Linked DNA regions of Kluyveromyces lactis. The protein of the gene in region 3 purifies or fractionates together with the protein of the main gene of each other region. This does not show direct contact. Links are inferred from orthologs where the notes say so. Each region holds a gene or a part of one and is shown on either strand. Other genes may lie near its edges.

What was found.
Region 1: the proteins of NSP1 (region 3) and MLP2 purify together in Saccharomyces cerevisiae (affinity purification with mass spectrometry; 3 studies listed by BioGRID). This does not show direct contact. The link is inferred for Kluyveromyces lactis from reciprocal best matches to the Saccharomyces cerevisiae genes NSP1 and MLP1.
Region 2: the proteins of NSP1 (region 3) and NUP116 purify together in Saccharomyces cerevisiae (affinity purification with mass spectrometry; 7 studies listed by BioGRID, with this or other methods). This does not show direct contact. The link is inferred for Kluyveromyces lactis from reciprocal best matches to the Saccharomyces cerevisiae genes NSP1 and NUP116.
Region 4: the proteins of NSP1 (region 3) and NUP1 purify together in Saccharomyces cerevisiae (affinity purification with mass spectrometry; 3 studies listed by BioGRID, with this or other methods). This does not show direct contact. The link is inferred for Kluyveromyces lactis from reciprocal best matches to the Saccharomyces cerevisiae genes NSP1 and NUP1.
Region 5: the proteins of NSP1 (region 3) and MEX67 purify together in Saccharomyces cerevisiae (affinity purification with mass spectrometry; 3 studies listed by BioGRID, with this or other methods). This does not show direct contact. The link is inferred for Kluyveromyces lactis from reciprocal best matches to the Saccharomyces cerevisiae genes NSP1 and MEX67.
Region 6: the proteins of NSP1 (region 3) and NUP133 purify together in Saccharomyces cerevisiae (affinity purification with mass spectrometry; 3 studies listed by BioGRID). This does not show direct contact. The link is inferred for Kluyveromyces lactis from reciprocal best matches to the Saccharomyces cerevisiae genes NSP1 and NUP133.

The regions. Positions count from the first base shown.
Region 1 is NC_006037.1:52,358-56,483, reverse strand, and holds the end of MLP2 (Mlp2p), read left to right. Parts: coding exon 1-3,180; downstream 3,181-4,126. Other genes in the region: MCM10 (Mcm10p), read left to right, coding at 3,403-3,490, 3,574-4,126. UniProt on the Saccharomyces cerevisiae protein: Together with the closely related MLP2, involved in the structural and functional organization of perinuclear chromatin. Together with MLP2, associates with the nuclear pore complex and form filamentous structures along the nuclear periphery.
Region 2 is NC_006042.1:2,466,120-2,470,046, forward strand, and holds the start of NUP116 (FG-nucleoporin NUP116), read left to right. Parts: upstream 1-1,127; coding exon 1,128-3,927. Other genes in the region: KLLA0_F26686g (uncharacterized protein), read left to right, coding at 132-371. UniProt on the Saccharomyces cerevisiae protein: Functions as a component of the nuclear pore complex (NPC).
Region 3 is NC_006041.1:1,040,117-1,045,592, reverse strand, and holds NSP1 (FG-nucleoporin NSP1), read left to right. Parts: upstream 1-1,978; coding exon 1,979-4,321; downstream 4,322-5,476. Other genes in the region: MHP1 (Mhp1p), read left to right, coding at 1-1,002; NUP192 (Nup192p), read right to left, coding at 4,427-5,476.
Region 4 is NC_006039.1:1,147,649-1,153,102, forward strand, and holds NUP1 (FG-nucleoporin NUP1), read left to right. Parts: upstream 1-2,062; coding exon 2,063-4,786; downstream 4,787-5,454. Other genes in the region: alpha-1,2-mannosyltransferase KTR1, read right to left, coding at 1-717; KLLA0_C13497g (uncharacterized protein), read left to right, coding at 5,269-5,454. UniProt on the Saccharomyces cerevisiae protein: Functions as a component of the nuclear pore complex (NPC).
Region 5 is NC_006039.1:845,342-850,256, reverse strand, and holds MEX67 (Mex67p), read left to right. Parts: upstream 1-2,188; coding exon 2,189-3,955; downstream 3,956-4,915. Other genes in the region: protein-transporting protein SEC63, read right to left, coding at 1-1,616; OSW1 (Osw1p), read left to right, coding at 4,278-4,915. UniProt on the Saccharomyces cerevisiae protein: Involved in the export of mRNA from the nucleus to the cytoplasm.
Region 6 is NC_006037.1:702,507-707,960, reverse strand, and holds NUP133 (Nup133p), read left to right. Parts: upstream 1-2,107; coding exon 2,108-5,428; downstream 5,429-5,454. Other genes in the region: MTD1 (methylenetetrahydrofolate dehydrogenase (NAD(+))), read left to right, coding at 1-500; rRNA-binding ribosome biosynthesis protein RPF2, read right to left, coding at 638-1,672. UniProt on the Saccharomyces cerevisiae protein: Functions as a component of the nuclear pore complex (NPC).

The DNA.
Region 1 (4,126 bases), on a different chromosome or scaffold from region 3:
TTACAATCAACTTTAGAGCTTTCCAAACGCCAATGTGAGGAGCTACAAAAAAGATCATCTGATCTACAAGATATTTTAACAAAACAGGACAAACGTACACAGGAGACTGTAGATTCCTTAATCAAAACGAAATCCACTTTGTCATCTATACAATCGGAACTATCCATCTTGAAGTCTGAAAAACAGTTTATGGCAAAGGTTCAAAAGGAACTGAAGGCAGAGAACGAAAGATTTTCCAAAGAAAGTGTCGAATACAAGGTGTTAATTGCGCAACTTCAGACACTCCAACGTGAGAGAGAAATGTTACTCAAGGAAACTCAGAATTCTTATAAGGAAAAGCTTAGAAAATTGGAAATTGAGTTGTCTGGTTCACTCGAACGCCTTGAAGAAATTGAAAAAAACACCACAGGAATTGCTAGCAATAAAGAGCATCAATATAATTGGTTTCAAGAAAAGATTGATAAGTTAACTAGTGAGGCAGCTCAACAGAAAACGACCTTAGAAGAAAAAGAAGCTCAACTTCAGAAAATGCAATCCACTATCAATGAACAATCCGCAAAACTCAAGGAGGCCGAGGCACGGGCACAATCATATACGATGTTAAGTAATGTCGATGATGCTCAAAACCTAGTTGAGACTTTGAGACAGGAATTGGAAAAGGTTAACTTGCAACTTTCTGATTCATATTCACAAATAGAGCATCATAAAACTCTGGCGGAACAGTCCGTGCAATCCGTTAATGAAGTAAGCCAGGCCTTTGAAGAGGCCCAGAAGGAATCTCAGAAGACAATAATCACTCTAGAAAACGAAAGAAATCAATTACAGAGTACTGTCAATATTCTCAACGATCAGGTGAAAGACCTGAATAACGAAATTTTCCATCAAAAATCAGAATACCAAACTGAGAGGAACGCAACAATGGAAGAAATCAGTAAGCTTCAGATGGTGAAAGAATCTGTGGATCGAACTAAGGCTGACTACGAAGAAAAAATTGCAATGATTCAGAAAGATCTAGAAATGCAAACGCAATATGCAAATGAGAGTCAACGGAGCTACGAACTTGAATTGCAAAAGCATGCAGATGTCTCTAAAACTATTACGTCCCTAAGAACTGAGGCGCAAAGCTATAAATCTGATCTAGAGACACTTAAAACCCAATCCCAACTGGCTATGGAGAACTTGAAGAATAGCGAAAAATTATGGAATGAACAGAAGACTGAGTACGAAGATAAACTGTCCGTTTTGGAGCAACGAGTCCAAGAACTATCAACCCAAAATAAGCTCCTGTACGACCAAATTGAATTGCTAAACAAGACTGAAGATCGTGACAACTCTCATGATTCAAGTGACTTGTTAATCAGCTTGCGCCGTGAAAGAGACATGCTAGAAACTAAACTAGAAGTTGCATTGAGCGAGCAAACGGTTCTAAAACAACGCCTTGATATAGCAAAATCAGAAATTGAAGATTTGAATACTCAATTATCTCAAGTTAAGAATAGTTCCAGTGAAAGCGCTCATTTGCTAGAGCAGCAAGAAAATATAATGAAAGAACTTGACCAACTGCACTTGTTAAGAGAAAGTAACGTTACACTAAGATCTGAAAATAGTTCATTCAAGAAAGAATGTGACAATCTAAAGTCGCAATTGCAAGAATGTAATGATAGGCTGGCGCCACTACAGTCGTCCATTTCCTCTTTGCAAAATGGTATCAAAATTAAAGAACAGGAACTCATTCAATCGAAAGAAGAAGCAGAACGGTGGAAAAGCCGTTCTCAAGATATCTTACATAAATATGAACGTATTGATCCTGAAGAACATGGTAAACTAAAGGAGGAAATTAACGATGTTAAAAATGAACTGCAAACTACCAAGGATACTTTGCAAAGCGTCATTGCCGAGAAAGATGACTGGGAATCGAAGTTCCAAAGAATTAGGCTTCAAGCACGTGATAGATTGAATGCCTCCAAGGAAAAGGAACAATCTTTATCATCAGAAATAAACCAAATCAATGAAGCTAAATCTCAAGTGGAGGCCGATTTAGGAAAATGTAAGACCGCTTGCAAAGAGTTAGAAGAAAGATTACAAGTGGTAACGCAAGAAGCAGAAACAAAGGAACAGACTTTTAACTCTCAATTATCTAAATTGCAGGAAGATCTACATTCTATTCAGGTTCAAATGGAAAATGCTTCCAAGACCGAACAGAATAATGCAGATTCAGATGAAAAAATAAAATCGTTGACTGAGACTGTGGAAATGTTAAATAGTAAAATACAGGAGCTTGAAGCCGAAGCCTCCAACGCTCAAAAAATAGTAGCTGAACATCATACGCCAGTTATCAACGAAGACACGAAGTCAATAGTGGATAATTTGAAAACAGAATTTGAAGCTGAAAAAGAACAATTAATAAAAGATAAAGAAAAAGAATTGAGGAGCAAGTTTGAGGCAGAAAAAGAATCTGCTTGGAATTCCAGAGAGGAAGAGCTCCGGAAACAGTTTGAAGAAAGAGAAAAGAGAATTCGTGAAGAGTGCGAAAAGACTACTGTCCAGTCTCCTTCGCAGCCTACCTTGGATATAGACATCGATGCTTTGAAGAATGAATGGGAAAAAGAATATGAGAAGCAGACTCTGGAAAAAATTAAATTAGCAGAAGAAGCCCTCAAGAAACGGATCAGGTTACCTACTCAACAAAAGATTGATAAAATAGTTGAGGCAAGAAAAGCTGTTTTAGAAGAGTCCTTTGAAGAAAAGGTAAACGAAAAGGCCCAAAAATTGGCAGGAGAGATCGGAAATGATGCCATTACTCTAGAAAAGCATCGTGCAGAATTGAATGCACTTAAGGATTCCATGCGTAAGCAATTTGAAGCAGATTTGGCAGAAATAAAACAAAAATCTTTCGAAGAAGGGAAACAGCAAGTTTCCTTGAAATTGAAATTTTTGGAAAGCAAGATCAGGAATTTAGAACAACAAAAGTCCACAATTAAACCTGTAGAGAATGACACTTCTAATATGAGTGCAGCATTCCAGGCCCCTGTATTTGGCTCTCATTCAACATTCACTAGTCCCTTCTCAACGTCAGAAATTTCTCCTAATAAGAGACCCATAGACGACACCGCAACAGAACAGCCTGAGAAACGTCACAAAGAGCCTGAAAGTGATACTGAGGATGGTCAGGAAGCCTGATTCTCCAGACGATTTTATGGCTGTTAATATTACCGAAGTTCTATTTAATTTTTTTCTATTATGTATCATTATTTGACCATTCGTTTTCAACATGTAAAAAATACTAGTATTACTTTCCACAGATATTCAAACGAGAAAACAAAATAATGACATCCCACAAGTAAAGAATGAACGAGAATAGTTACAGAAGCTATCGAGTATAGGTAACAGTGAAGATGCATCATGTCATATGATCTAACTGACCCGAGAGAAATTACGGCGTTCGACCCGTACGAGGAATTATCTGATGATGAATCTGAAATCGAAAGAGGTATGTTCTAATAATAATGGTTACCGAGATCAATGACATTAGAATATCCTACTAACATATTATAACCAATCATTAAATCAAAGTGAAACGAAGAATTGTTGAAATTGACACTGAGAAACGAGATTTAACTAACCGGCTGTTGGAACTAGAGAAGAAGAGAAACCTCAAAGACCCTAATTTCGATTCTATCGACGTTCCAGAGTCTCCTAAGAAATCAGATAATGCTACAAAAGGAATAGAGGATATCAAACATATTGCGCCAGTAGCAGATATAGAGGAAGCTACATTTAATGTTAATGAGGATTATGTAAGGGAAAAGGTCAAAAAGTTGGGTACCACTTCTTACTTTACTGAAAAACTTCGCTCCATCAATACAAATGAACATGAAGCGATTAAAAGGAAGAAAGAATTATTGGCACATCGAGTTTACACATTCAATGGCGACATGTTCGATGAATATGAACCAATTACTGTTGATGAAAAAGATGATTTGAGTGGTCTGGTTATAGACAGAAGGTATGTACCGTTGGCCGTACTTAGGAAACATACTAAAAACATAAAAGTGCTTCGACTTCCAAAGCTCTTCAGTAAGGTGAGAGCCCCTAAGTTCTCTGAACCTGATTATCCCAATTGGTT
Region 2 (3,927 bases), on a different chromosome or scaffold from region 3:
ATTGATAAGTTAAAAAGTGTAAGAAAGACGTCTCATAATAAGGAGTAACACAGGATACCGACCTCCGAATAGGCTTAACAAGCGCCTACTACAATATACCCATTAGCGTCCCCGTTTGACAATATTCAACAATGTTCACAGACAATTTTGGAAAAGCCAAAGATACGCAGCAGGTTTCCCAGGTGATAGTACAATGCTTCAAAAGTTTAAATTCAGTTCCCAGATCGACTCCAGACCTAGAGCAAGACTATTGTGATTCTGATGAAGAGGAAGATTTGATCGTGGATTTAACGACAGGGTCGTTAAAGCCCAGGAATTTGAAGAATTATCTACTTATGAATGAGGTAATGAATGGCCTAGAGAGCCTATGACGCTATGGTATTAAAGCCAATAAGGGGGTTTCACATCTACTTTATTGTGTCTACCGAAGATTTGCATACCAGAGAGATGCATCTTTTAATGCCTTTACTGCCTGGCTTTATCTCTCATTTTATTTTCATTTCTTTCGACTATATAGAACATATATACTTTTTGGGTAATTTAACAGACGGAATTCATTATATATAACATATTGGAATTAAGTGTTTCAAACAGGGAGCCAACTCAGAATTGCATTAGCAGCTGTTCCCTTGTGCTCAAGTAATTACTGCTACATCACAATCCCCCAAAACTACGTATCACTACGTACGCTATGTCACTTAATACGATTTTAGGTCATCCCTCACCTCTGAAAATTTCTTTATCCTTGAAGTAAACAACTAATTGATGATAAAGAACTAACGTTTTCTAAGTTGATGCAAGCAATGTTTCGGCTTATATGATTTGTCGTATTTGTCTTTCAGTCATACTATCAGCAACTGAGACCAATAAAAGTATTCATACAGTGCGTAAAGTGGGAAATTTTTTTATAGATCGTTAATTGATTAGTGTGTTTCTTCTTTCACAATCAGAGAACAAGGACACTCACTCATCTTTAAATTATTTCTCAGAAAAATACCATTGAACCAAAACGCTACGACTTTGGTATTATCTACTTAGAGATTACTTGTGTCATTGAAGGACATATTATTTTATTCCTAGTCAGCTTTTTCATCAATTGTCACCTCACTTGATTTCCTGACCCACTGATGTTTGGTGCTTCTCGACCGGCATTTGGACAGACGAGTACTTCTCCTTTTGGCCAACAAACTCAGTCAACAACCAATGCGTTCGGTCAACAGCATAGTGGAACCACAAACAATCTGTTTGGATCCAGCTCTGCCAACAACGCGCAATCAGGGTTTGGTGGGTTTGGTACCGGCGGCGCTAATACAAACCCTACGCAAACTATAAATTCCCCATTCGGTATGTCACAACAGCAAAATACAACTACTTCTCCGTTTGGCGGGGCAGCAGCAGGAGCAGCAGCAGGTAATTCATTGTCGAACCCACCATCCCTGTTTGGTGGTAGCCAATCTAGTGGTACAGCGACAGGCGTTCTCTCTTCTGGACCTCCTTCTGGCACTGGAATCAAGCCATTCCAACCTTATACGGAAAAGGATGTGTCAACTGGATATCCATCGGTGTTTCAATCTATTACTTGTATGCCTGAATATAGCCTTTATTCGTTTGAAGAGTTGAGGTTCCAAGATTATCAACAAAATAGGAAATTTAGCACCACTGCTGGAGGTCCGACAGCTTCTGCTATTGCTTCGCCATTCGGTCAACAACAGACAAATGGTACTAACAACACTTTTGGTTTAGGAAATAAAAATACCATCAGTGCAGGTGGCGCAACTCCCTTTGGTCAACAGCCTGCAAATTCACCTTTTGGCCAGCAACAGCCTGTAAATGCATTTTCACAACCTAATAACACTCCCTTTGGCCAACCACAGCAGCAACAGCAAACTGGCATGTTTGGACAACAGCAGAATAATTCTCCATTCGGGCAAAATACTGCTTCAAGTTCTTCTCCATTCGGTTTAAACAAACCGGCTACCTCTGGAGGTCTGTTTGGACAAAACACCACCAATAATAATTCCGCATTTGGTCAAGCCAACAACTCATTATTTGGTCAACAAAACCAACAGCAAAACCCAGGTAACGCATTTGGTCAAAATACTGGTTCAAACACCTTTGGGAGCACTTTCGGCCAAACAAACACCAACAATCAACCGGGTGGTTTGTTTGGACAAAATAACACCACAGCGGCCAATACTGGTGGACTTTTTGGTCAACAAAGTAACGCCAATAACGCATTTGGTCAGAATAATAACACCTCAGGTGGATTATTTGGATCAAAACCAGGTGGAACTACAGGTGGCGGTTTATTCGGTCAGCAAGCACAGAACGGACCCTCTCCTTTCGGTCAACAAAATGCTGCTAATTCTACTCCATTCGGTCAGGTAAACAATACTCAGGCGGGTGGATTGTTTGGACAAAACAACACCAATACTGGCGGAGGTTTATTTGGACAGCAACAACCATCTAACACAAACAGTACAGGATTATTCGGACAACAAAGTAACGCAGCTAGCACTGGCGGTCCTTTCGGACAACAAAATAGCAACTCCATGAATCAACAGGGCGGAGGATTATTTGGTGCGAAGCCAACTACCGGTGGCCTGTTTGGATCAAACAACCAAAGTCAACAAGGTTCAACTGGGTTATTCGGAGCTCAAAATAAAACTGTAATGGGTGGTAGTTCCGCGCTGTTTGGTCAAAATAATCAGCAACAACAATCTGGCGGATTGTTCGGACAAAGTAATCAACCGTCTGCAACGGGGGGGTTATTTGGTAATCAGAACCAACAAACACAGCAACCTAACACCGGTGGTTTATTTGGTCAGCAGAACAACAGTATGGCAAACAACACCGGAGGATTGTTTGGTGCAAAACCAACAGGAACTACTGGTGGATTATTTGGCCAAAGTAGTCAGCAGCAGAATACATCTAGCGGATTGTTTGGTCAAAATAACAACCAGAACAACACAGCAACGGGGGGTCTATTTGGTCAAAACAACCAGCAACAAGGTCAATCATCGGGTAGTCTCTTTGGTGCCAAACCTTCCGGCACTAACGCTTTAGGAGCTACCAACGGCGGGTTATTCGGAGGCAACACACAACAGCAGAATACGGCTACTGGTGGTCTATTTGGTGCCAAACCAGCTGATAGTGCGTCAACATCTGGTGGCCTTTTCGGCACTAAACCAACAGGTGGTTTGAGTAGTACCACTGGAGGTGGATTATTCGGTGGAAAACCTGCCGGAACTGCACCTTTTGGCGCAACAAACACGAACAATGCCTCATCAATTGGTGGCGGAAGTTTATTTTCTGCGAATAAGCCAGCAAATACTGGTTCGACAGGATTATTTGGATCACAAAACAACACTTCTGGTAATGCAAATACAGGTGGTTTATTCTCTTCATCTTCCTTGCAACAAAACCAACAAATGCAAAACCAGCAGCAAGCAGCACAAGCGAACTCCAATCCATATGGTACGGATGAGCTATTCTCCCGTGTTATCTCTATTCCTAATTCCATTACTCAACCAACTAAGCCTAGTGCCACAATGGTTTCTGCAGACTTGAAGAAAAAGAACTCCCTCTCCGCAGCATACAAGCTGCTTCCAAAACCCTTGTTTGACTCTAAAAAGTCGGAACCGAACTCCAGAAAGGTTAAAATTCATCTAAAACTATCAAAACCCAAGGAGGAAGACACTAGTTCGACTGCTCTAACAAGAAAGCCTATGGATTCTTCAATTTTCACTGCATCTACTGATGAGGCTATTTTAACTACCGGAGAACTCCTCTTTAATCCAGACAAAAAGTCTTTCAAAAACCTTATCATCAATCGCCAAAAGATGGAAGAAGATGATACCTCATCTGGTGAATTGAAATTCATAATCTTCAATACTGACGACGGACCACAAAAGAAAATGGAACAGA
Region 3 (5,476 bases):
GCTATTTTACCAGTGTTTGTGTCTTTGCTTCGTTTGCACTTAGATAACAACAACCTATCCACAACGGCAGTAATGCAGTTTGCCGAAGTTTTGCCGATGTGTCAACGCATAAATTATATTTCTCTATTGGGAACCAATTTGAATATAATATCTGCCAGTGCATTGGCTGCTGCTGTAAAAAATTCCAAGACTATAATCACAATGGATATTGACTACGCCCATGTCCCTGATAGAATCAAAGAAAAAATCTCTGTCTATAGTATGAGAAATACACAGAGAGAGCTCGAACAAATTAATAAATCTGGTGGCGATGATGGACATGAAAAATTGAAGTCACTACAAGAAGAGCTTGGAAGGTTACTAACAGAAGATTCTTCAACCAGGAGTGATTATGATACATTAGTGTCAAACTTCTTGGAACGTATTCAAACTGTACGTGCGAAACTTCATGCTGCAATTGAAGAACTATTCAAATTGAGACTCAATGGAGAGCTAAGTACGGAGGGTAAAGAAACTCTTATTAAATTTTGCTTTATTGACGCAAGTTTTGAAAAGGGCTTGAAATTACTAGCAAAGAAGAGTTTGCGAAGCGCAGGTTACCATTCCCATAATGCAGCCACGTCAAATGACCGTGAAAGCCCATCACCATTAACTTCACAATCTGCGACAGCTTTAACTTATCCGAAGAAACTAAACACCTTACTTTCTTCATCGAAATATGCTTCCAGTGGCCACAGCGCTTTGTTACCCTTCCATCAACCATCTGTAGAATCATATGAACCTGCAGATGACGAGGTGGCACTAACATACACGAGCGGTGAAGTGCAGAACGAAGCCAAAGAACAGTTGAAAGAAGAAGGTGATGTTTTGAGGAAAAGTAGAGGATTAATGAATGAACTACAAAGTACCGCTAACAAACGTGGCCAAGAGCTTAACACAGATATTTTGAGAAGGGTTGGCGAAAGATTTGATAGTGAACATATATCAAAGACGCCCTTTTGAAACAAGATATATCTAATATTATGTCACTCCTTGATGAATTGAACAATCAAGGAATTCCCATTGACGAAATTTTCAAGAAGAAATCAGATGACAAAAAACCAACTGCTTCTAGTTCCTCTGTCGACCAAAGTTCTAATACGGTCGTAGGAGTTGAAGCCAATCTGCAGGAGAAGAAAGGTGATGGGTATTCTGATAGCGATTATAGTAGCGAGGAAGAAGTACAGCAAGAAGAACAAATGGACCGCGCGTTTGACGAAGTTTTAGACACTCTAGCACATTCAAGAAAGACCACGCTTGCGAAATCAAATAATTCGCCAGGCTCAACATAGCAGCACCCAATGCACATAGCCCCCAAAGAGAATACAAATTACATTCCGTCTAAGAAACGTGGAGAATTGTAGACATGAAAACCACAAACTAATTCGAGGGGATACGTCTGCCCCTACTTTCACCTCTCTTTCTTTTTTTTTCAAAAGGAACTTTAACCTAATGCATTGAGATATACGAGATGATCAAAAACACAAATATGATGCCTTACTCTTGGATCAAATTACCCAGAAAGTTGGTAATGTGATTTATAGTTCCTAGGAAAACTCTATTCCATTGTTAACCGTTATTGATATTGGAGGAGAGAATCGAAAGACATAAAAGCCATCAAGCTCGGTTTACTCCGATTGAATTCTGTACATTATATAAATCTTACTATACATTCATTATAATATTAGGAAATAAACTTTAAAACAGAGCTTACTCTGGCTAGTCAAGCTTTATATGTCCATCCGTATATGCATCATATCAAGGTTACCCTCACTCAAATTTTTTGGACCTTGTTTCTTTCTAAAATCGAAAAGATCATAAAACTCGATATGATTAAACAATAAACTGAAAATTGTATACATAATGGCAAACGAATTGGTTTGAATAGGCATAGCTAGTCTATGAAGTGGACAATTACAAGGGTTCGTTAATCAACAAAATGAGTTTCAATTCAAACCCCACTTTCAACTTTTCTACAGCGGGAAATGCTTCCGGTGGGAACAGCAATTCCAATTTGTTTGCCGGTACTGGATCAGGACAAAATGTATCTACCACAGGAAACACCAGTACCAGCACAGGTGCTTCCTCTCTCTTTGGCAATACTGGAGGCCAGACCAGTGGCAATGCTTTTGCAAGTTTCGGTTCAGCTGCTGGTAGCTCTAATACGCAGCAGGGAAATGCATTTTCAGCGTTTGGAGCGACCACTACCAATGACAATGGACAAACAAAACCTGCATTCGGAGGCTTTGGTATGAATACACAACAGGGCGCTAATGCAGTCAAGCCAGCAGCTTCGCCATTTTCGTTTGGTGCCTCTAATACAACTGCTGGTACAGGCGATGCACCAAAACCTGCTTTTGGAGGTTTTAACGCAAACGATGCTGCCAGCAATGCGAACAATAACAACAGCAACACCACGAATACAAGCGCAGCAAAACCAACATTTGGTGGCTTTGGCTCCGTAGGAGCAGCAGGAAGTAGCTCTTCGCTATTTGGCGGGTCGCAACAGGCTAAAGACACTCAACCCAAGAGTGGATTCTCATTTGGTACACAACCTGAACAAAAGACCGATGCAAAGCCCGCTTTTAATTTCGGACTATCTGGAAATAATGCAATGACTACAACTCCGAGTGTCAATGCCTCTAAACCAATATTTGGTGCCAATACAACTTCAACATCAAGCTTCACAACTTCCGCTAAACCAACTGAAACCTCGAAACCTAATACAAATGCCACATCACTCTTTGGTGGGAACCACACTGATACAAAACCAGCCGGTGCTACTTCAGGGTTCAACTTTGGTTCTGCCGCTGGAGATGCCAACAAGCCAAGTTTTTCGCTAAGTCTGGGATCAAAACCTGAAGAAAAAACCTCAGGCGCAAAGACAGGATTCTCATTTGGTTCAAAAACGGAGGACAAGCCTACAGATGCTAAACCAGCATTTTCTTTCGGAGCAAAGCCCTCTGGGACAGAACAAGCCGGTAAGCCAGCCTTCAGCTTTGGATCAAAACCAGTGGCTCCTGAACCCTCTAAACCTTCCAATGACAAACCAGAAAGTAAACAGGGTTTTGCATTCAATGTTAAATCTGGCAACAGTAAAGAGGAGACCAAAAGTGGATTTTCTCTGGGATCTAAAACAGAAGAATCTAAACCTGCCTCTAAAATGGGATTTTCTCTGGGATCCTTGAACACGAATGCTGACGATACCGAATCCAAGCCTGGGTTTTCTTTTGGCAATAAGACTGAAGATACCAAGTCAGCTTCCAAAGCGGCCTTTTCGTTCGATAACAAGACTGACGGGTCAAAGTCAGAATCAAAACCATCTTTTGCTTTAGGGTCCAACACCTCAGAAAATAAAGCCGATCCTAGCCCCGCATTCTCGTTAGGAGCGAAACCTACCGATAGCAAATCATCTGATACTAAGGACGATTCGAAGCCTGCATTTAGCTTTGGAAGTAAACCTGCCGATAGCAGAACATCTGACACTAAGGTTGATTCAAAGCCTGCTTTTAGCTTTGGAAGTAAACCTGCGGAAACTACCGCTTCCAAAGACACGAAAACTGAAGCTCCTTCCTTTTCTTTGGGCGGTCTGAAACCGGATACTACCAAAGAAACAACTGAAAGTGCTAAGCAGGAAACTACAACTGGAACAAAGACATCTACTAAACCCGTTACTATCGAACCTGTTTCCCTCGACAATAAGACTTTGGATGACTTAGTATCAAAATGGACCTCCCAACTTTCTGGAACCGCAGATCACTTTGAGAGTTACGCCAAGAAGATAAATCAGTGGGACAAAGTATTAATGCAAGGTGGTGAACAAATAAGTCGGTTGTACTCTGATACATTAACTGCTGAACAATCTCAAAATAGAGTAGATCAGTCTCTCTCATATATCGAAAGACAACAATCTGAACTTGAGTATTTCCTCGATTCTTATGAACAAAAGGCTGAAGATCTGCTATCTGAGGTGCTTTCTTCGAGCAACAATAACAACACAAGCAAAACGAATGATCAAAAGAGACAACAAGCCTATCATACAGTGGAAATGCTTGACGACAACCTAAACTCTTTGTCACTAAATCTTTCCTCGTTGATTACCGAAATAAACGAAGTTAGCGAAACGTTCAATAAGGCTACAAACTCAAGCTTCCCTAATAAGGAAGAAAACGCTCAGTTGATCCAGTTATTAAATTCTCACCTAGATGCTCTTAAGTCGCTAGAGAACAACTCTCAGCAACTTGAAGGAAAACTCAAGACGTTGACGAAGTCTCAGAAATGATTTTTTTTTTTGACCTTGAGGTTAATACTATGATAATCTATATATTGAAACCTATGTACTTTGCTGGTTCAATCTAATAATCATGTAACCATATTGCCCTGATCGTTATTGCGCTCCAGAATAATTTGTCAGTGTACAAACCAAAATGATGAGTTGAACAAATTCTTCAAGTCCTTCTGGTTTGGTTTCAACTCCATTCTTTTCAAGTAATGCATCTCTCTTTAATGCGCCTTGTACCAATTGCTTGAAATGAGATATCAATTTTCTTGCCTCACGGAAAACGTATTGGCTTGATGTTCCTGAGCTGAGTAACACTGACGCAATCAACTGGAAGATGGGTATAATGATTTCAAAGAGCGAAATACCATTTTCGTATGATGTAATCTGGAGAGGGTTATCTAAAGTTAGATTCGCACGGATTTTTCCGGAGGTTGCAGCACCAACAGATTCAAACATCAATTCTAGTCCAAGATCTGGATCCATTTTCAAGAAGTTACACGACGTAATAGTTTCAAACAATTTCTTTTGAACTAAAGCATGAGAACCAGCCTTTGTTTGAGCCAATTTTGTCAGGAAGTGTACCACACATTTGAAAATTGTGAGTTCATACAATAATGTGTAAGAGGTCACCTTCTCATTTTGAGTCTCTAATACCTCATCTGTGTTTTTGATAGATCTTATAATCAATAATAACATATTACTTTTGACAAGTGATTCCAAAACAAAATTTACTTTGTTCAAACTTGCTAATTGGTTTAAAGCATCCAAAAACAATATTCCTGTTACTCTATTAGCACCTTGCCCCATAATAGCATCATTGCAAACAGTCTCTACTAATGATTCATTGGAAAACTTCAGCCATTGAAGGACCTCCTTTGAAAGGATTTCATCCTTTAGGACACAGTTCAAATACTTTGTACCAAGCACATAAAAATCAGATCTTAGAGTCGCCGATGGTGTCGATATACAGTTTATGCATGTCTTGAAAAGCGTATGCAACCTACTGTCTAGGGTTTTTTCATTATCGATGGCAACTCTATCCTCATGGTATAATTCATAAAGGAAGACAGCAAGGGAAACTAGTTCCTCAGAATATGGAAGGCGAGATTCGACATATTCGTTTACTTTAGGAATAATGAATTCAAATACTTCCAA
Region 4 (5,454 bases), on a different chromosome or scaffold from region 3:
GGTGAAACCGTACTTCTTATCGTTATCCTTCATGAATTTGAAAATGTCGTAATCGATATCACAGTAGATCTTAACACCTGGTTCAACACGCCAGTAGAACTCGTATTCATCCATCAATTTGTGTCTATAGAAGAATCCTGATTCATAACGACACATATGTCTGTATGATTCCGAATGACCATAGATAATCTTCTTGGCTTTCATATCAGCTCTGACTTGAGCAGCCTTTTCCTGGTCGATCCAGCTTGGATAGGACCAGTGTTCGACAGGGATTAGGCCAAACTTGACGTTACCACTAATCATAGAAGCAACTGTATTCTTGAAGTCATCTGTGAACTCTTCATCGTTCAAAAACACCCAATCGTATTGGAACTTCTTGTTGAATCTATCTTCAACAGACCTAATAGATGACAATAATTCTGTCAAATCACCGTTACGTGCCAAAGTCACAAAAGTTGCCTTAACCTTGGAGCCAGTGTACTTACCGGAATCGACGGTGGTGTACTTCAACCCTGTGTTTGGGTCTACAACAACACGGGAATCACCCTTCATGCGAACGGTCTCGTACTGATTTGCATTCTGCGAAGATGACACACCAGTGCTGTATCCACCATTGTATGAAGCACCTTGGAACAACAAATAGATGGTAATTGCAGCAACGATAATTATCCCAAGGAGACGCGCAGAACGCTCCTTATTGATTCTGGTCTCGCTCATGGCTTATTGAAAGATTACTGAACAGCTTTCTCCCAACCTATTTCCAATTGAAATAAAGAAAAATAGCGGATTTGTTAAGAAGAAATCAACAACGACCAATGTGGTTTCAGGATATTCACGTCAAACGATCAAATAACTTAGTAAAGCACCTAAGGAAACAAAAAACGATACCGAGTTGTTAAAGGTAAAATGCCTTCGTTTGTAATTTTTCAGTTTTCTTCAATTGAACAGTGGATATACGCTATTCTAATATCACATTTTTCTCGAGGCAACCCAGATTCGATCAGGGAATATTGAAAACTACAAAAAAAAAAAAAAAACTATATGATACCATTAGCAGAGCTCAGCCATAAAAATAGCACATTTATGACATTTATGACATTTATCGATCTCCCACTTCATGACTCGTAGTCGAAGGCATCGTGCGATGTTCCACTGCCCATTTTCTTCTAGTGTAATGATTCTTTTCTTTTCGGATTTAGACTTATGTGTTCGTTTCAGTCTTCTGTCCCTTCAAGGTGTTTTTTGGGATTTTCCTTGACCGATATGGCCTCTTCGTTTCGGAATCAAGCGGTCTGTTCTGTGGTGTCGAAGCCTCATAACCACATTCGGTGTTGCACTTTTTACTTGATTTCCTCCATGACGCGTTCTTCAAGGTTTCCCCAAACTAAAAAAAAAAAAACAAGATGGGACGAATGTATGACAGGATGGGGAGAAATCGGTCACGTGATAATCTGAATTTCACAAGAATAGAACACTTGTACTGTTAAGCATGGCATTGATGCACACTACGTTCTATCCTGTGCGTTCTTGCAGTTTAACGTTAAGTTTTTCTTTACTTATATATCAATTTGTTCTTTTCGATCCCTCATGTCACTTTCAGGCCTTATGTATAGAAAAATGAACAAAACTTGAGTTCTATATAAAACTTGAAAGCTAAAATAACGAAAAAGGGTACTTTTGTATTAAGTGGACGGCAAATCTTTAAACTTTCATAATGTAGAATCGTTATAATAAATTTTGGATAATAGTCGAGCCCCATATTGATGTTTTGGAACTAATGCAAATTTATGTCCATCTCCTAGCTAGACTCTCTTATACTGACGCCTTGGTTAGTTTAGGTCAATATGTGTCAAACCGTACAAAGTGATTATAACCCTGTAAGAGGAAAAAAATAACAGCTAGGAATGTTAGGACTTGAAATATCGAATTATCAAATATCGAATAATACCTTTATTAATACGCAAGAAAGTTACAGAAACAGCAGTTTCGAAAGAAATAGGAATCGAAAACTTGAATTGGACTCTGGTTCACTTGCCGCATATCACGGCCACTTTATAGAATAATGTCGGCATCATATCTGGAAAAACCCAAAAGATCGATTTCATCGACTTTGGCATCATTATTTACCAAGCATGACGATACGAATAGCGAAGATCCGAATATAACAAGGTCGCACAATGAAGATATCAGTGATTCAGGATCAGTGGTCATCAAGAGGCAAAAACGTGGCTTCGACGGTTACGAGGAATTGGTTTGGAATAACGAAAAAATCACCGATCACCCGTTAAATCACAATGGCATTGATGATATCAATTATGATGAAAGACCGAATATTTTCTTGTATGAAGGGGATTCTGAACATGGTGTAAGGCCTCCAGTACTAACGATAGAACCGAAACAAAGATTGCGGCTACTAAGGATGCAGCAACTGCGCCGTGCTCGGCAATTCCCACTTTTACAAAGACAATTACAATCAGCAGAGAACGGCCTATATCGCTTAACAGACGGCAAAAATGCTACTATAAAGAATTTACTCGTCAACAAACTACAAAGTGACAAGAAAAATCATAGGGTTTCCGATAACCCAAAGTCCAAGAAGTGGAAAGCTGATTTTCAATACGATTTATCAGAATATGATATCTTGAAAAACGACAAAAAGACGAAACCAGTATCTGCCTCAATGGGGAATTTGGAATCTCCTAAACTACCACATCCATTGCTAAAAAGGAGTACCTCTTCAAAGAAACATGTCAATACTTTTGATCAAACAGGAGTGCCTAGTGGATCTGGCTTAACTGATGTTCAAAGCAGGTTATTACAAGGAAAGACATTGCAAAAAAATCCAAAGATAGCACAAGAAGTAGTTGCACCAACACTATCATTGAAACCTATCGTCAAGGAAAAAATATCAGAAGATAAAGTTTTAAACGCTAACGGCCCAAGTGTTGGATTTGACTTTATGAATAGAGACAGTACTTCTATTTTCCCAGGTAGCACAGATACACCTACCAAACCAACAGTATCCAAAAATATATCTTTTGGAAATACCAAATTGGATTTATTCAACAATGATAAACAGAAATTAACGGCCCCTTCTCAGGATTCTGAAGAGTTACCAAGAAAAAAGAAAGAATTTAGTTCTACTGAGGACACTGTTAAACCATTTCCCTTCACAAGTTCTAAGTCGCTGGAAACATCAACTGAACCATCGAAACCTGCTTTTTCTTTTGATGCGGTAAAAAAAAACAACACAGCTACAGCCAATGGAGGCACAAAAATCTCAGATGGTGCTCCTTCTTTCACCTTTGGTGATTTATCAAAAACCAAGAAAGAGACCAAAAAAGCTGAAACATCCAAAAACCCCTTTGAGAAATCCGCCCCCGAACCTGTTGAAAATCTGGCTAAAGACGGCCTCCCTAAGTTCAGCTTCACTGGTGCGGATACAACTGGGATATCAAATATACCTACATTTAGTTTTGGAAAATCTTCAGAAGGCAAAGAGATAGCTAAACCCGCCCCTTCATTCAGTTTTGGCAGCCAAAAAGATGCAGGCGAACCAACTAATGTCAGTGAAATGTCAAAACCTATGTTTAGCTTCAACAAAGGAAAATCATCTACTCCAGATCTGACCCCATTGAGTACCTCTCAATCAACTAATACACCTAAACCACTATTTCAGTTTGGTTCCAGTGGTAGTACTGAACCTGCCGCAAAGAGACCAGATGGTACAAAAACTGAAGCACCAGTGCTGCCATCATTCAGCTTTGGTGGTAAACCTGTAGGAAATGATTCGTCAAAAAATATTGAGAAGGAAAAAGCTAAACCTTTCAGTTTTGGGCAAGCTTCGAATACATCAGCATTTTCTCTCAACCAACAGCCTTCAGCAGACAACGCGACAGAGAAGCAGGAAGCCAAAAATGCCGTCAGTACTGCTGTAAAACCTGCATTCTCCTTTGGTAGCACCCCAGCAGCCCTACCTTCTGATACAACCCCAAAAGAAGCTGCTGCACCATCATTTTCGTTCGGGACCACAAAGAAACCTGTTCAAGGTGATATGAGTTCGAAACCTGCATTCTCTTTTGGAAGTTCCTCTGCCATCCAGCAGCCCTCAATTGAAAAAGCTTCCAATGCAATTCCTTCGTTTGCAAGTCAGAACACCAGTGGCCAGCCTGTCAGCGGACTCAAATTTGATTTGACAGGGTTTAAAAATAATAATAGACAAACTACTCCGACTCCGTTTTCAGATTCATCAAATGTTGGATCTGCTCGTGGAAGCAACCCTCCTGTCCCATTCTCATTTGATAATGTCGTTCAACCTGGGAATAAGATAAGTGTAACGCAGCCTACTCAAACTACATTTACTTTTGCACAACAAAATCAAAAACCATTTACTTTTACTGGAAGTGGGCCAAGCACTACCAACAGTTCACCTGCATTTGGAACCAGTTCCAATCAGCCTAATGTACCTTTTTCATTCGGCGGAAGCTCAGCTTCTTCCACTCCCCAGGTACCAGCATTGGGTACCGGTTTCGGTAATTCTATGCAGACAAACACATTTAATCCTTCAGCCGCTGCCAATTTTAATTTTGGTGGTCAACCATCTCAAAGTCCTTCTGTAGTATTTGGATCCCAAACCCCGCAACAGAATCCATCGTCCATATTTTCCGCTGGTCAGCAGAATCCAGCGGACATATTCAATGCGCAGGCTTCAACTCCTCAAGGAGGGGCACCATTTCCACCGCAGCGCAAAATTGCTATGCCCGGTAGGAGAAGAAGAAGAGGCTAATAAAGGAAAACAAAGGCTTTGCATCTCAATTGTAACAATTATTGCATGATATCATTCCTTCCGACATCTTTACATTTATGTGTAAGAATGTATCTACTAATGTCATCTTAAAGTTTAGGTAAAAAATTTTGTTTCGAGAGAGTACTCGAATGGAGCTTCGTTAACGGATGAGATGCTCGTAAAATCTTTAAGTGGAACTACATCAACTTATAAATCAAGTCTAACATACTCAATAGCAAGAAATTGAGTGATTTCGCTTGTGGTATCCAAATTGAACCGGCTATTACTTGAAACATAGGCATTTCTGGAAAGTATTGATCAAATTTAGTTACATTGAAACTGCTATGCGTAGCGCAGTTCATGACAGCTTTGCAGGAATTCAATTGAATTATGAGTCACGTGAATATTCGTTTCGCCTAGTCAACTTCATAATACCGTAATGTTGTGAAAATCAACAAAAGCGCATTCTTTAAATATGTAACATGAAAGTGTCAATCACTAAATTAATATCTTCCAGTAAAGTAAAAAACTCCATAACCATGGACATTTCAGAACAAATACTGCCACGCCTTACCCACTTACAAAAATGTGTTCACTCGAAACCTTATAATGTACTTCACGTCCCTTCATTCCTCTTAGGGTGCTTTGTGGTAATTATGATCTCTTCT
Region 5 (4,915 bases), on a different chromosome or scaffold from region 3:
TCTTTAATAACTCTTTTATCGAAATTGACATCCAAATTTTCTAGGGACAATCTTTGGGCCAAGCTTGGGGTTTGAATTATTTTACCATCCTTTTGTGATACCACTAACGCATACCAGCAAGTACGTCTCTTTGTTGGAAGCAAAGGTGCGAAAGTTTCAGGCAACAATGGTTGTTCCAACAATTTTTCGAAGGGATCCTGTTCCAATAACAATGGATCATCGCCAGCTATTTTTTCAGCTGGGATCAATGAGTTTGGGAAAAGTTTGTGTCTTGGAGAACGAACCAACACTTTAACTTGAATGTGAGGAGTAGAACCTGGTTCTGCGGTATTTAGAGAAGATCCACGAACTTTGAAGGAGCCCTTGACGAGCTTCAACTTAGGAATACGAGACGCTACTTTCAAAGTTTCATTGAGTGCTGTTTCATCTTTTATTCCTAGCATCTTACCTATCTTATCATCTGGGTATGTGAATAATTTACCCAAGGCACAAATATCATCTGTAGTTGAATCCAAGAAATGCTCTTTATCCACGTTTGGTAATTGAAAGATTTGAGAGTGTGGCGATAACGGAGTTGCCTGTACCACTGTCTTATACGTGTCTAACGCCATCAATGCAACTTCAGTGTTCCTAAAAGTGGATGCGATTTCTATCAATTGATGGAAAAGTAACGATGATTTGGTAAGCACATAGTTCCTTGCATATTCGTTTTCAGTCTTTTCACGGTTAACATGGGAATGGATAATGTTAGCGATGTCCACGGAAGACAATTCTGGGAATTTCAATTGGAATTCTTTTGCTTCAGAGATCCATTTAATGATTAAGTCTGGCACAACAACATAAGATGGTTTGAAGTTGAACATTTTGTCAACGAAGTGAGATGCTGTTTCAGAATGAATACCGTGTTTTGTGTACTCTTGCGAAGTGCTCCACCATTTAGAAACTACCATGGGTAACACAAACGCAAGTAGAATGAAATATGCAAAAACAACAAATGGGGAAGTACCTCCTTCCACCAAGAACTTGGGCAAAGCGATACCGTGAGAAGTAGATTGAGGACCATCTGGATGACCATACTTTCTATAATTTTCCTTCGTAATTTCATCAGTTAAAGCCTTATAAGCCTTGTTAATCATCACGAACTGTTCCTCCATAGCCGTTCTTTCAATCTCATTTAGGTCCTTGGAAAGCTTATCGGGATGGAATTTGACAGATAATTTCCTGTATGCAGACTTGATCTCTTTATCGGTAGACGAAAGCGTCACACCAAGTAACTCATATGGATCAAAAGCCGCTGCTGCAATCTGATAGATAGCATCGTTGGAACGAATATGATAAATCAACATCGAAATGAGCACCCAACCAACGGTAATGAAGTAAATTCCCTTCTTGGACCTTTTCTTCTTATTAGCAAGTCTATATTTCCGAACTTCTTCTGAAGTATATTTTTCGTGCAATTGACTCCATTCTGATGAAGAACTCTTATCGCTGGAGTCCCCAACAATCAATCTATACAGCTCAATCAATGTTACCGGTGTAACAGCCACAAATAACACCGTGAGTACGAAAAATGGCCATGTGGTGCTTGCCTCATCGTAATCATAATTCTGCGGCATGGCGTCGTTGTCTGTTCGTCTGCTTGTCTGTTGTAGAACCAAAAGACTGCCAATAAATTAAGCCGCTACAATAAAACACACAGCAGGCAGCAATCAAAAAAAGTGAACCACAGTGTACTATTAAACAAAAAAGCCTTCAAACTGCAAACAATTATTCCTCTGATCTAGAAAAGTAGTTAACAGTTAACTTATTTCGATTTTAATATGCCAGTCTGTATTTTCCAAAAACCTTTGGGTTTTTTTCCTTCTGTTTGAAACACTATACGTATTCAATACGGCAGAGCTTAGAAGAACAAATAGAAGAGAAAGACCAAAAAAAAAAAAGATATTTATACGTCACGTGCTCGTAATATATCACATGACCTTGAATTTTCTGTTTCGATTTGGTCGATCATCTCTTTCTACTAAACTGAAGAATAAAATTAAAAAAAAAAATGCTAAAAACCTAGAAATAATCAAAAAATGTGCTAGTCTCATTGGTAATTGAGATGGGAATAGAGATTGAAAGATGAGGCTCACCGGGTTAACCGATTTGGTTGAGAAAAGTCTTGTGATATAGCGTTACTAGAGTGATGCAAGTTAGTGGTTTTGGTAACGTGAATCAGATTGGTGCTTTGGCACAGCAAAACCAATTGGATAACTTAGTCAGCGTTAGCATTCGTGGATGGACTAACGCTACTCAACAGGATTTGTTGAATTTCATTTCGAGAAAGACCAGGATCTCAGTGAGAAACTCTGTGGTTCAAGGGGACACTATAGTTGGTTATGTGACACCGCAGGAGGCAGATCAATTGGTGAAATTTAGTGGGTACCGGTTTGCAGGCAATTCATTGAAGATTCACAAGGCAGCCGGTGGGAACACAAACCCTAATACGAATGATACGATAACCGTTCTTCGTAATGTGCTTTTGAGAAGATATAATGTGCAAACGAGGATGTTGGATCTTGGTAATTTGTTCAATGATCCGGAGTTGGTGCAACGCGGTATGGCTCCGAAAAATGTTAATACGCAGTCCAAGATGTTCCCGGCTATGATGAAAGTGGCTTCAAAGGAGCCTAGCATGGTTGTTGAATCGATCAACCTATCTGATAATAATTTGAGAGACGTCAATGGTGTTACCACGTTGGCACAGACTTTCCCTCATTTGAAAAACCTATGCATCGCCAATAATAGTATTAGTCGATTCCATTCTCTTGAAGTTTGGAAGAATAAATTCAAAGAGTTGAGGGAGCTTCTGATGATGAATAATCCAATTACATCGGATCGTTTATATCGTACAGAAATGTTAAGGATATTCCCCAAATTGGTGATTCTAGATAACGTTGTCGTTCGTGACGAGCAGAAACTACTGTCTATCTATAGCTTACCGGTACAACAAACCCAGTTCTTTTTCGAAGATAATGGATTGGCATCATCGTCAACAGATTTTATTACCAACTTCTTGAACTTGTGGGATTCGAATAGAATGCAATTGATGGGTTTGTACACTCCACAGTCTCAATTTTCCTTAAGTGTTGATTCTTCCGTTCCAGCTGCTACTGTACCTAATGCTCAAACGACTCCTACATTCGGTCATTACTTACCATTTTCAAGAAACATTTCCAAGATATCTAGCGACAAGACCATCCAAGAACGGTTACGTATAGGGCCCGAAGCAATTTATGAAGTGTTCGGATCTCTCCCTATGACAAAACATTTTTTGCAAGAACAACCTGATGCTTACTCTGTGCAAGCCTGGACCTTCCCACAAGTTCAAGGGTTTGTTATCACTCTTCATGGCCATTTCGATGAAACTGCCAAACCTGAAATTGACAAGAGCAAAACATCACAAGGATCATCTGCCTCTAGAGGAAGGAGATACAACCATGGATTTACGTCTACGCCGAACATCAAACTTTCACAGAAATCCTTCGATAGAACAATGGTCTTAGTTCCAAGTCCAAATGGTAGTGTCATCATTGCATCTGATTCGTTGACGATAAGGCCATTCTGTGATAGCGCTTGGTCTAAACCACCTTCTCCACCACATCTCCAAGCTCAATCTGTGCAACATCAGCCACAAATGAACGTGCCCCTCTCACAAACTCCGCCAAATACATCATCCATTCCTGGCCAAATCCCGGGAGTTCTTGGATCGACACCTTTGCAATTCTCACCGGAAGTGCAAGCAAAATTGTCACCTGTACAATTAGAACTACTTCAGAAGTTACACCTTGAAACAAAGCTTAACGCTGAGTACACTTATATGCTTGCCGAGCAAAGTCTTTGGAACTATGATAATGCTATCCAAGGATTTAGAAACAGTGCAAACAATCTACCCAGAGAGGCATTCATCTAAAAGTATTGAGCTAATCATGTGCGCTTCTTTAAAAAAGAACATCTTAATTCATTCAGTATAATATATAGTTGCATCTCACACAAATAAATTAAACTAAGTATATCCATCTATTTATATCAGTTGGATTCAAGGTGACTTGACTCTGTGACTATTTTTTATCATATATCCTGTTTGTCACAAAGTGTACGTCAATAAAAAAAGGGCCTAACATTCAGAACATTATACTAGCCAATGAACTCTTAAGCAAATTACAAATTGTGATTATAAGCTCACTACAGTTTTGCTGAAAACTCACTATTCCAAGGCAATATAACTACATTAAATGAGATCGATACCAGAACCTCGCCAATCAAAATATAATCGATTTAGAAGGTTATTTAATAAGGTGCATAATTGTGTCACTTTGAAAAGATTGAAAAGGCGATGGAACCTACACAAGTTGAAGAAGAGCTCAAGGAATACAAATCAGAGATCTGCAATCCCAATAGACCGTATTGCTAATCTTCCTACTGGTATGTCGCATAAATCGAGTAACATGAAACCATTGCTTCTAGTATCGTTTAATAAAGGTCAGGAGAATTCGCCAAAGGTGAGAATTCTAGAAACCAATGGACATTTGAGATCTTGGATCAGCGGTAGAAAATTCTCAATGAAACGAATAGTGAATAACGCATCTGTAGAGAGAGATCCTTATCAAAATTCGAGGCACACAGTTAGGCAAGAAGTAGCAAAACACGCAGATTTAAAGGTCAATTATTCTGAACAAGGAATCGTGAAAACTGTCGACATACCGTGCTGTTACACAGAAGATCCGAAGTTGATTAATATAGGACAAGAGCACACTTTTAGAATACGTGACTATCCTTCTTTGAATCCTAGTCAGCGAACGACGAGAAATGGTTTCAGGAGTAGAAATCAGCCTGAACCTGTTTCGCGCTTCTTCTTTGAGGAAGTTGCAGA
Region 6 (5,454 bases), on a different chromosome or scaffold from region 3:
AGTATTTGAAAGTTTATAACAATTTGTTACCAGAAGGGAACAGACTCTATGGGAAGAAATGTGTTGTAGTGAATAGATCTGAAATTGTTGGTAGACCTCTAGCTGCTCTGTTAGCAAATGATGGTGCTGATGTGTTTTCTGTTGATATCAACAACATTCAGAAGTTCACACGTGGGCAAGGTTTGAAGTTTACGAAACATCATGTAGAAGACTTGGGTGCATATTCAGAGGAGCTATTGAAGGAATGCTGTAAAGATGCTGACGTGATAATAACAGGTGTTCCTGGTGAAAAATACAAGTTCCCTACTGATTACATTAAAGAAGGCGCTATCTGTATCAATTTTTCCTCAGAGAAGAATTTCGATGAGTCTGTGAAATCAAAAGCATCGCTATACGTTCCAAGCACCGGTAAAGTAACCATCTCCATGCTGTTGAGAAACATGCTCAGATTAGTAGAGAACAAACAAAAATTGCAAAACCGTTCAGCCTCCACGAATTAAGGCAGTGGATCGATCAAAAAAAAAAAAAGAATTATACTCTATTTCACCTTTATCTCATATATATGCGAATGTGTATGTATATGATTAGATATGTATATGAATTATATTATACAGTCAGTTTTTATTGTCAATGGAATTTATTTCTTTTGCTTCTTAGCAGGTGGAGCATCGATATCTGTTGCCGTTACGAATTCTTCACCGTAAGTGTCATCGACATTTTCTTGATCAAGATCGCCTTCAACTTCTTCTAGGTACTCTTCCATATCCGAATCCACTTGATCGTATTTAGCCTTCAAACCCTTCATCTTTCTAGTTTGCAATTGACCCAAATCTTGCTTACCCACATGCACTCTACCGATCTTATCACCCATAGTATCGATCTCAACGTTCTTAGCAACTCTGACTTCCAATTGTCTAGGTTTCTTATGGGCTTCCTTGACCATTTCTGGAGATGGAGTGTGAATTCTTCCGATCTTGAAATCGAATCTTGGACCAATCTCTTCCAATTCCACTCTAGGTAACTTCTTACCACCTTGTTCGGACTTGTAAGTCTTCAAGTGATACACTCTGAATAGAACATTTGGTAATGGTTCACCGTCTTGGAAATCACCTTGGACAGTGATAGAAATGATATGTTGCAAACCTGCAACATCTTGCAAAGTGGTATTCTGACCTCTGAAAAAGTCAAGGAACAATGATTTGATATGCTGGTAAACTGGATGTTGTTCAAAGGCTGCACCTTGGAAACTGAACATTGGCTTTAACCCAACGTTAAAAGTTTGTTTTCTGAAATCAGACAAAAGTTTATAGTTTTCTGCAATCTGCAACTCGATAATATCATAGATCTTATACCCAAACGTACGAATAAAAGTCAAATTGTTTCTTCTCTTCTTAGAATGTGTGCTCAACACCATAAGCGATGTATCATTCTTTTCAGATAAAAACTCTAATGGTTCATAATCTTCAAAAGGTCTGATGTTGTTCTTCTTGGAGAATCTCTTGATATCAGGCTTCTTCAACGCACTCAAATCAACCATTGAATCATGCAACAACTTGGTAGAAGTTTGACCAGGAATGAATAAAGCTTGCTTTACATTCTCAACCAATTTTGCTTCTTTTTTATCCAAAGCCCTTTTAGCACGGGCATTCTTAGGCTTTACTGTTCTGATCATCCTGGTGTTTACGGTGTCTTGATACAAATCACAACAATTACACCTTATAGGATAGAAATCTGAGCCAAAAGATGAACTATGTAGACTGTAACTTAGCTCATCGCATTTAGCTCATCGCATCGATTTGTTCCAGTTTAAAGATTTAATTTTCCAAGTTACTTGATAAGTGAAAAGAAACTATTCCAAAGTCACGTGGCGGAAAATGTTTCACGTGACATCACTTATGACGATTTCTTTGGCGACAATGAAAACAGAAACATTGACCAAGATTTTAAACAATGAGCATCAGAGAGTCTATTTACCTTTATAATTACAGCAATGCAAGGTCAAGCTAGGTTCGGCTAACAAGGTAGTGGATCAATTGAGATTAGAATTTCAAAGTTTTACATTTGGTGATTCTTTTGGCTTTTTTTTTCAGTGTCAAGATAGTACAAGATGAAGCAATTGTTTCAGCTCAGGAAAGAGCTTAGTGTACCAGCAGCAGCACCAGAGGATTCAGTAATCTCTGCTGAGGAAACGACAACTGGTTCTGCTGTCACCAATGTACAATTTTCGAATGAACAAGTTATCACAGAGAATGGGAAGTATAAGGTATCGAAGTTAGCGCCAAGTTTAAGTTTTTTGCCCAGTAATGTGGAATTATGTTGTAGCGTTGATGCAAAATCTGGGTACGCCTTATGCTGCGATACTGATAATGTTTACGTTTGGCCATTTTTATCTTCTGAAACACACCCTAGTTTTGTAAGGATTCCATTACATGACGAGGAATATGAATCATGGTCCCGTCCTCCATTATGTTGCTTTACGTGGCCTAGTGTGCTCGAACGTGACTTGAAATCAAGCCCTGGCTTATTTTTAGTGAACAGTAGATCCGGTGACATTCAATTCTATGAAGATGTTGATACTGTGAGTCAAGTGGCAAGTTTCTTGACGCAAACCAAACGTCATAAATCAGTTTTAAAACTACGTGACGGTGAATATGTAGAGAATTTGATTAATGCAGAACCAGCTGGAATATTACTTTCGACAAATTACGGGCGTGTTGAGTTTTGTACTATAAGAGATGCTAACGGGAAACCTTTTGTATCGCTAAAACAAACCATAATAAAATGTCAAGTCGGAATCTTTTCATCCATGTCCAAATCAAAGAGAGTGGTATCTCTCAAATTGGGCGAAATCAGCGGTAAAGGAGAAAGAATAGTTTCTATTTTAACCCAGGGCGGGCGATATCAGGTGTGGAACCTTTCATCTGTTGGGAATTGTTACAAAAAGATCGATTTAAATGTACAGTCTGAAATTTCACAGGCAGTCTTAGAGCATTTCCCCTTGGCAACATCTACACTGAAACTACTCGATTGTCATCCTTTATCAGGAGACTCGGATGCATACTTGTTCTTGAGTTTCTTAGCGGAAAGTAACGAAACGCACTATTTACTATCAACCATCATTGTGGATGAAGATACTAACAGTTTCGCTATCTTCTCTACTTACAGATTAAACACATACACGCGACCATTATCAGATGAATTTGCCCCAAGACTTATAGTCCCAACTGCATACACCAAGGAACATTTACCGATAACGTCTGTTTACACTTTATTCTCTGATGCTGCTGTCCTAACTCAAACAAGTTCCAAATTGGACTCTAATTATCCATTTAAAAGGAAATGGGAGGACATTATACGGTTTAACAAAGATATGAAAGTTCTTGGGTACGATTGTAATTCAAGTTCCTTATACATTACTGATGGAAGAACATGTGCGTTAAAGTTGGAGACTTTTGAAAAATACGAAAACTCTGACTTCCAAGAAATTAGATTCATAAAGTCTCATGTGGATCAATACGTCTATTTTGGAGGACAATCAACGGATTCATTACTAGACTTCAACTTACCTGACAATCTAGATCTACAACCACAAGAAATTGAAACAGATATTCAAATGTCCAGTGATGAGATTAAATATGCATTATCAAACCACATACCGCCTGTTGCTAACAACCCCATGAAACACTTAAAAATAAGAAGCGAACTTTTTGAAAGACTTCTCACATTTGTTGCTCATAATTTTTTGGATCAAACATCTTCCCAATTCAAACTGGACTTGATTTCTGATTTTGAAATGATAAAATGTTTGGAAAGCTTGTACTCTTTACTACCGCAACAACCAACATCTATTTCACAAGCTTGGAAGACAGTACTATCAGAAAGTTCCTATCAATCGGATTCTGATTTTATCTCAGACGGCATTGTTAAGATTCCAGAATTATTGGGCGCCTTTTTGAAGCATTTGAAAGACCTAATGAAATCCACAAATGAAACTATGTTAAAATCTCAGATCGCAAAGCTTATAAATCAACTAGTTTATCATTCCATATTAGAAGAATGTGAAAACAGCTACAGGTATGGACTTTTCCAGATGAGCCCAGATGATGTATCAAAAAATATCCCTTGGTTCACAACAAATAGCATAATAGAAAATCTTAATGACATCTTCTTCTTGTTAAGGCATGCCTCTGAAGATCTTGCCGTTGTGTCAGAATTTGTAGAGGAATTACTGCTATTGGTTAAGTCTCTATTTTATATGGTCAGGCAAATAACCATGTGGATTGATGCAAATGCCATTACTGATTCTAGTTATAAACAGTTTTTCGAAGAAAATCATTTACTTTGGAATAGGGTCCTTAGGGATGTTAACAGGTCTCAGGATTCAATTCTAATCACAGATTTTTACCAAGACTTTGAAGGCTTAGTTGAAACTTTGCAATCTCTGCCAAAAATTACCGCATTCTCTCTATACGATGAATTCTTCCAGAAATACGGATACGACTTTGCAAAATCCTTATTTTCCTACTATATCAAGGAAGGGCTATGGGATGATCTTTACGAATCGTTTGGTGAAACCCATTCAGAATATTTGGACCAGTTCTTAGGAGAATGTCCCGAGTATGGCAAAGTTAAATGGATTGGAAACATATATTGCCATAAATACGACGAAGCAACTACAACTTTGTTGAGTATTTCTACTGGAACTCAATCGCTGGGTCAAGATTTGAAACAAAGACAGGCACAATTGAGTATTGCCAAATTAACAGCTCTTGCCGCGGAAGTTCAAGATCTTGAAAAGCTAAACGAAATTCAAACCGAATTAGATCTCATCGATGGGCAAATTCTTCTATCCCAAGAACTACAAGAATCAACTCTCAACCCACTATTCAAAGACTTTACCACCTATCGAACTTTGTTCAAATATTTGAGCGATGCTGTGAAGAGGAGAGAATCTCTCTCAGTGCCGCATATGATAGAATTATTCACACTATTAAATCAAGATACTTCTTATGGATTTGCATTGAGTATCCTTGCCATTGATCACACGTTACCCACTGAAGTAAAAAAGTACTGCGAGTACCAGATCTGGAGAAGGTGTCTCTTATCCGATGAAAATGCGGTTAGACAAACTTTAAGGGTCTTTTTCAAGCAGCAGTTCTACCATCAAAGTATCGAACTTCCAATCATCGACAACTTGGCCAATGAGAAATTGATCACTGACTCATACCTGGATGGCATGTACCATGGACTAACCGATCTTAATAAATTAGCTAGCGACGTCAAACGAGAGGTTGCTCTTTTCGCTAATTCGAATTTGGACGTTACGATGTTACAATCCATCATTGGAGAAATCAACGAGGAAACCGGTAACCAATGTGTCATCAATTACGCAACTAACACAATCGAGACAAGTCCCACATCTTTCTAATTCAATAATAGAAGAAGGTGCCACAC